Alligator mississippiensis: one gene and its partner. The protein of the gene in region 2 purifies or fractionates together with the protein of the main gene of each other region. This does not show direct contact. Links are inferred from orthologs where the notes say so. Each region holds a gene or a part of one and is shown on either strand. Other genes may lie near its edges.

The links.
Region 1: the proteins of ZMYND19 (region 2) and ARMC8 purify together in Homo sapiens (affinity purification with mass spectrometry; 4 studies listed by BioGRID and IntAct, with this or other methods). This does not show direct contact. The link is inferred for Alligator mississippiensis from reciprocal best matches to the Homo sapiens genes ZMYND19 and ARMC8.

The regions. Positions count from the first base shown.
Region 1 is NC_081830.1:29,559,488-29,563,394, reverse strand, and holds the start of ARMC8 (armadillo repeat-containing protein 8), read right to left. Parts: upstream 2,660-3,907; 5' UTR 2,622-2,659; coding exon 2,577-2,621; intron 1-2,576. UniProt on the Homo sapiens protein: Component of the CTLH E3 ubiquitin-protein ligase complex that selectively accepts ubiquitin from UBE2H and mediates ubiquitination and subsequent proteasomal degradation of the transcription factor HBP1.
Region 2 is NC_081835.1:49,282,711-49,286,617, forward strand, and holds the start of ZMYND19 (zinc finger MYND domain-containing protein 19), read left to right. Parts: upstream 1-941; 5' UTR 942-1,048; coding exon 1,049-1,099; intron 1,100-2,260; coding exon 2,261-2,320; intron 2,321-3,754; coding exon 3,755-3,861; intron 3,862-3,907. UniProt on the Homo sapiens protein: May be involved as a regulatory molecule in GPR24/MCH-R1 signaling.

The DNA of each region.
Region 1 (3,907 bases), on a different chromosome or scaffold from region 2:
AGAATGAAGGTGATTTGTGGAAGCTCTGCCTTGTTTTTGGAATGGCAAGTGACCTTGGACTAAACCTTCACCTCTTTATCCAGCTGGATTTCTGGTGTGGTACTGCCCTCCTCCAGACCAGTGTGGCATCAAGGGGCAGAAGATGAACCACCTGGAGCATCTAGATCTACATTTCCTTCAAGAATGGCTTCTGCTTATTACGTCACTTTGGTTATCTAGCCCAAGGGAGCAGGATAGTCTCAGCACAGCCCAGGTGAGGCAGGGCATGTATGGTGAGGCAGGACCCAGATAGATTTTAGGTCCAGACCTTCATTAAGCTTCCAAAGCTAGAATCTGCTGCTTTCTAGCCTGCTGACCAGCTCTAAAGTTCAGGTAAAGCAGGAGTGTCAGGACACTGGCAGATTTCTGCAGCATGCGATGCACCCCAGCTGGTATCAAGCATCCTTGGGTTCTGATGGACATGGGGATTGGCAGCAGAAAGGTGAGCAAGGGCTGATACATTCCTTGCTACTTCTTGTGTCATCACTGCTGCAGTCCTAACTCCTCTGCCAGTGGCCTCATCATCACCCCTTTGCCCATGCCAGAACTGTAGCTGTTGCTGCTATGTCACAGGGCAAGTACAGTGGCTGCAGTTTCAGCTCCAGCACAGGCCAGGCAGCAGAAACCAGAGCTGAGCCCCATGCCAGATCAGCTATCTCCCTGTACCTAAAGCCACAGCCAAAGCTGCTATCACTGCATACCCCAGGCTGGACATAGCGTACAAGGCAAATTTTATACCCATCAAATACAATGTCTTCTTACCTAGTGAGAAAAAGCAAACCAAAACAGACTAAGATTATTTATAATAAAAGTGGCAACTGGCCTCTAGACCATTTCATGCCAAGTGGGCAGGACATTACCTAAAAGCTGTTTCATAAGAGTTAAGACACAGTTACTGCAAGATACCATTTGAGGCTGGCAAGCTAGGATTTACGAACATGGGACACAACTGCAGTCAGTAAACAAACGTGTCCCAGAGGCAAAGAATGAAAGCATCCCTTTCAATATCCACTTAAAAGCAATATACCCCACCAAAAGATCAAAGGGCAACTGCAGTGGATGTGCCTCCTCCCTGCACTACAAAGCACAGCAACTAGGCCACCTGAGAAGACCCAGAAGACTTACAAGAGCAAAGGGATCAGGCTTCTATTGCCAAGCTGATTTCCACTTCCTGGCAATGAACTGGCAAGAGTGCTCTACAATCCCTGTACAGCAGTTTTTACAAACAAGACAAGAGGTTGGCAAGATGTTTTCAGTGAACAGTAAAAATTTGCCAGAAAAACAGAGCTTTGAAATAACCCAAACTACTTGTGAAATCCCACTGAATCCACTTATTTCAGTGGCAACATGGAAGATTTTTTCTAATGTCAAAACATTTTCAGAAGAACGGTTTGCTTTGAAAGGCATTTTGTTATATGTGAAGTGACCTATGATTTAAAAGGGGCACAAAGCAGATAAAGTGCCTGCAAATGAAACAGAACATGTGTTTTGCTTATGCCAAAACAAAGTTCTGCTTCAATTTGAGAACACTCCTCTTCTTCAACCACCGAACCGAGTAGTCTTTTATTTGCCCAGCTCTACCTAGCAAAAATACAGGCCTCCAGGAAGCGCAGACCCAACTCCTCCTCAAGGATCAGCATAAATGCAGGTAGAACAAGGCAAGAGGAGCTTCTTCTGAAAGAGAAAGTAATACTACAGCTCTCACTTCAAAGGAGAGAAGAAATCCAAAATTAAACATGATGTAGACAAGAGAATGGGAAAGACACCAGGGTAACATCCAAATGCCTCTCAGCCCTTTAACTATCTAATGCAAAAATTGACAAATCTGTGGCTCAAGGATCAGACTCTTAAATCACCTAAGATCCCCTAAGATCAGTGACCCATGGTAGAGATAGTCCTTGAATCATGGGATGGCCAATGATGAGGCAGAAGTGGTATCAGGACACAAACACTACTTTGGCTCTTACATTTAACATTGAGACACACTATCCACTAAACCAGGAGTGGCCAACTTGGGGCATAGCTGCCTCAAGGGGCACAAGACACTTCTGCATGTGGTCCACCAGATTCAGAACAGGGGAAAGCACAGCAGCAGGTGGGGTGGCAAGTGTAAAGCTGAGGGGCAGATGGGGTGGGGAGCACAGGGCTGGGAGCAGACGCTGCGGGGAGGGAGCACATTGCAGAGCAGCCAGTAAGTAAAGCAGGCAGGCAGGCAGTTCAGCAGCAGGCAGGGGGCAAGTGGAGAGCAGAGCAGCAGGTGGGGCGGGAACAGAGCAGCAAATGGGGCACCAGGCAGGGCGGCGGGCGGAGCGCAGAGCGGCGAGGGCAGGGCGGGGAGCGGAGCGCAGAACGACCGATGTGGCGGGCCGGGAGCGGCAGACGCTGTCAGCCCAGCCCACCCCGGCCCGGGCGGCGGCGCTAGTCCCGGTTCCCGCCCCAGGGGCCGCTCCGCAGCGCGCCGCCCGCCCCGCCCCGCCCCGCCCCGCTCCGTTCCGTTCCGTTCCAGTCCCGCTCCCGCCCCGGCCCGGCGGCCTCACCGAGAGGACGCTCATGCGGAGCGGCGCCTCCAGCACACACGCCATCTTGGAAGCGCGGCGGCGGCGCCTCCCGTCAGCCCCGTGCTGCCGCCGCCGGGCAGGGCCGCATCGCTCGCGGGGGAGGGGCGGGCCCAGCGCCGGGCCAAGCCGAGCGGCCTGCGCGAATCGGCCGGCACCAAACGCCAGCTGCCTTCCACCGGCCCGGCCCAGTGCGCAGGCGCCGCCACGGGCCCTTTGACTCGCCGAGCGGCGCAGGAGAGAGCTCCTGCGCATGTGCGGGCTGCCCTCGCACCGAGGAAGGGCTGTAGGTCAGATCTGCGCGTGCGCAAGCTGCCTTGGAGCCGGGGAGGGGAAGGGAAGGGGCAGAGTTAGACTCAACTGGCGGTCGCGTTTCGAGGCGCATGCGTAGTACGTTCATTCATAAAACACCCCAGGGCGGGAAAGGTGTAACGAATCTGCTGGGTCGAGGCACCGTCGTGTGTGGAATCTGCTGACGCCCCTAGCCGTGCCAAGGCATCAGGGACTCTGGCACACCTTACAATGAGAGTTGGGTAGGACCCAGACCTAGAGTTGTTACCCCTGTTCAAGCACTCGCTTTGTAGCCGTCTTGCAGCTCTTTTCATAAGTGGATGGCCATGTGGTGGGTGTGCCCAGTCCAAGTTTGATGTGCCGTTCACCGGTGAATTGTGTGATAAATGTAGCATGTGACACAGGCCTGGTGCACAGCTCTACCTCTCTGACCCGGGTTGTGAATACAGCCCCCCTGTCCCAGGCCCCAACCTGGTACCAAACATGGGAGCAGGGCCCCCTGCTCCAGGATGGGGCTGAGAAGAAACATGGTTTGTTCTCTCTACCTTCAAATCAACAAGAAACAGCTCCCTCATGGCCCAGCAGCTTCAAAGTGCTGGAGCAAATTTAGGCAACAAAAATGTTTGCTTGGAAATGGTCAAATGAGTGGAAGCAGCAACTTATGGCCAAGGGATGTTAAAGCATGAAGGAATGAGACCTGGGATCCTGGCCTCACTGGTCAGAGATTTTGGGGATGACTTCAGTGGCACTTAAGATTTCATCCCAGAAATGATGGGCTGAGTGGAGCCTTGCTGACAGCAAAGAACAAGGAAGAGGCAGCAAGTATTTAGGGAACAAAAAAGGTGAAGCTAGAAAGGAACATCCAAGACTGGCCAACCTAGATCAGCTGCAGGGAGGAGGAAGTAACCTAGAAAGAGATCTTAAGTAAAAGCTTTGCAACCCTGCTGGTACCCCAGAAAGATCAGGCTGTTTCTTCTTGAATGATATGAAAGTCTACATCAATTAGGGACAGAATCATTACA
Region 2 (3,907 bases):
TGGGGGAAAACTAGAAACAACGGCCACAATCTCCTGGAAGATAGTTTCAGGCTGAACATTAGGGAAAACTTCTTCACAGCTGGGGTGTCCAGACTATGGGACAAGCTCCCCCCAGAGGTGGTGCAATCATCTACCCACAAGGTCTTCAGGGGGAGACTGGACGGTCACCTGGCTCGGTCATCTGACCCCAGATGTCTTTCTTACTCGTGCAGGGGGCTGGACCCAATGATCCGTCGGGGTCCCTTCCAGCCCTGCGATTCTATACAGCAGATACAGATGATTTAATATACGGTCTTCCTTGCTACCACCTCCTTTCAGGCCTTGCGCTTTAACTGCATCTCGTTCCTGGTTTGGTTAGCCACGGGGTTGGCTTCCTTTCCTTCGCTGACCGAGCTACTGTCACGTCTGCAAAGGTTCAGGCGACGATCACCTAGAAAGAGGCTTTGCAGCTTTCTGCTTAGTCGCACACCCGCAGCTCGGCCCAGGCCCCTCGGAGATGGCCAAGGCTGGGGACGCTGGGCTTGCAGATCGCGGGCTTGGCCGCGGCAAGAAGCTGACCAGGTCCCGGGGCTTGGCGGGGCCGCGCCAGTGACGGGTGCGGGGAGCTGCTGAACCCGAGGAGCGCAGGAGGCGGAGCCGGGGCTGCAGGTGACGCCAGGACCGCCCTGTGCTCGCAGGAGGGGCCCATGCAGCACAGACACGCCCGCGGCCCCTTTAAATCCCCGCCCCGCCCCTCCCCTCCGCGCGCGTCGTTCCAGTGTTGGCGGCACAAAGCTTCCCGCGAGTGTGACGTCAGCGCCGGCAGCCTCCGCCCCACGTGACCGCGCGTGGCACCGCCTCCCGATTGGGCGTGCGGCGGCCTTCAGCGCATGACGTCGCGCGGCGCGGGCGGTGGTTGGCTGAGCGGCCCCGGGCTGGGAGGTGGTGTGCGGCCCCGCCCCCCGGGTGTGCGCGAGGCGGCGGCGCGTGGCAGCTGCGGCGGCTCCCGGGTCCGGGCCCGGGTCCGAGCCCCGAGCGCAGGCGGCGCCGAGCCCGGCCCGGCCCGGCCATGACGGACTTCAAGCTGGGGATCGTGCGGCTCGGCCGGGTCGCCGGCAAGGTGCGGGCCGGGGCGGGGGCAGGGCCCGAGGGCGGCGGGGACGCTGAGGGGACTGCGGGGGGGGGGCGGCCGGGCCCAGCAGCGCCTCCCCGCGGCGGTTGGGGGCGGTTGGGGGCGGGGCGGGGGTCTCCTCAGTCCGGCGGGGCAGGGCAGGGCAGGGCCAGGCCGGGCCGGGCCGGGCCGGGCCGGTGGCGGCGGCGCAGCGGCCCGGCCACGAGGCTCGGCCCGAAGCGCCGCGGGCCGCATCCCAGCACGAGCCGCGCCCGGGGCAGGCCTCCGCTTCTCCCCGCGCGGGCCTGGCTGGAGCCGCCGCCGAGTCCGCCACTTCGTTTCCCGGCGTCCCCTGGGCGGGTGCCCGCAACCCAGCTGCGGACCGGGGGTTGCCCTGCCGGGTCGTGCCCAGAGCCGCGGGCCTGCTGCAGTGCGTGCTCCTGTCTGGCCGGCGCCCACCCGCACCTGTGCTGGAGGCTCCCCGGGTGCGCCCTGGGCTCAGGGGACATGGGGCAAATCGGCCACGCCAGCCTGGTTTTGGGCTTTCCCAGTAGCTAGGGACACGGCGGGTGCCGCCCACGCACGTGCAGTTTCGAGAAGCGTGAGGCACTCGATATGGGCTTAACCTACTACTCTGTTCTCCTCCTCCCCGAACCTAGCGTCAGGGAAGGGAGGCCTGGACTGATGGCGAGAGAGCACGTGGGATTTGGAGCCGGCTCTTTGCCAGGAGTTGAGCAGCCGTAGAAATGAGACGGGGATTCTCCCTCCCTGAGCTGTCAGTGGCGGCTCTCGACCGGAGACCTGCTCTGGGGGCTGGCTTCTTCCAGATCCTGGAAGGGCTGAATAGTTTGTTGTCTCACTGATGACCTCAAAAGTGTTCACCGTCCCGCTGGGTGTTGTCTCCGGTGTGCTGGGGGTCTGAGTGTTTTGTCCGTCCATTCCTGTGCGGATCACCATTATTACGTGATGGCCTATAGCCACAGATCTGTACCTGCATAAACTGGGTGGCAAAGTGATCTTATCAGGACTTGGTTATATCAGTGCTGCTTGCTTACTTTGCTAAAGTATTTCAAGTTCAGTTTGTTTCAGAATCACTTCAGGATTGACTTTGGATCTTTTAAGACATTTCAGCTTTTCTTAACTGCTCTTAATATGTTTGATATATTTCAGACAAAGTATACGCTCATAGACGAACAAGACATCCCATTAGTGGAAAGTTACTCTTTTGAGGTGAGAAATCTAAACTCCCTTTTTAAAATGAAACAAAAAACTCCTGTATTGTCTGACCGAATGTATGGTAGCTGTATTTTGATTAGAGTTGTGCCACCAAATCGTACGTCTACACAGTGGTTGAATACGTCCTTCTCAGCTGCGTGCTGAGGTAGATAGATAGTTTCATGCCTAAATGACTTGAAGTGGTTTCTGGGATGGTTACAGACCAGTTTAACTGTCTTTAAAAGAAGAGTTTATTGGAAATTATTGAACAGACTTTTTTTGTTTGAATGCTTATTTGTTAGAACAGATGATTTCTAGGAAAGGGCCGGCTTCAATAATTTTCACATTTTGAAGGAAATTTGAGAGAGAAATATTTCCAGATGGTAAAAATGGAAACTTGGAGGCATTCAAAATGAGAAGTTACTTATTTATGGAAAACAAAGTGAAAATAAAGTGTAAAAATAAAAGTCTGAAGCCCAGATGCTTTGGAATTACCAAAATAATTTTTTTCCTCAGTCTAACTTAAATATTTTTGGATTTCAGTCTCAAATTTGAAACTAACTTTTCTTATTGATTTGAGGTGAGGAAATGTCTCAACCTTAAATTTTCATGGGGCCAGAGAACTATTTTCAATCCGGGTCTGCTTCATGGTGTTAAACTAGATCTACCTGGGTTTATCATTGGAGGGGTTTTCTTGATTTAAAAAAAAAAAAAAAAATCCCTTAGTCCTTTCTCTATTAAGAAAGACTTGCCTTGTTCTGCTTGAACAGTGCCTCTACCAATGTGGTCATGGCCTCTGATTGGGGTTCTTCAGTGCTACAGTAATAGAATGAAGTTTGTGCTTCATTTTTTTTTTTTTTCCATTTTCCCAATCTCATTAGTTGTTGCTGTGGTGTTGCAGGTAAAACTGCTAGATTCTGAAGCAACTAATATATCCACTCCATGGTGGATATTTATCTTTTAAAAGTACATAAATAATGTCCTAGTACCATAGCTTCAGACATTGGTTTCCAGTATGTTTATTCTCTCAACAGTGCTATGGAGTAAGGAAGTGTTATTATTGCTACTTTACAGAGTGGGGATGAGGCTCAGAGAAACTGGATATATGTGAAGTCTAGTGCAGAGCAGGGAGTAGACCTTAGACTGGTGCTGGATTATTATTCCCATTTGCCTAAATGAAACTTTCTTGTACTGGACAGCCCACTTTTGTCACCCCCAGTCATCACAAAGTATAACTTTGTGGTCCCTGCCTAAGGGAGGTACTAAATAGCCACTTAACTGAAATCCCATTAAGATCACCTCCCATGTGATAGATTTCCTGCAGTTGCTGGGGGCAGACATTGTTGGGTCTTGGTGTTTTCCTGTCTCCCAAATCCCAGATGGCACTTTCTGTGCTGCTGCTGACAGTTGGATGCCCTCGGTCACAGAACACTCTTTCCTTCTCCCCAGGCTCGGATGGAGGTAGATGCTGATGGAAATGGTGCTAAAATATTTGCTTATGCATTTGACAAAAACCGAGGAAGGGGATCTGGGCGACTACTGCATGAGTTACTGTGGTAGGTATTGGGCAGTTTGTAGCTTTCAACCTGTACTTATGGTATC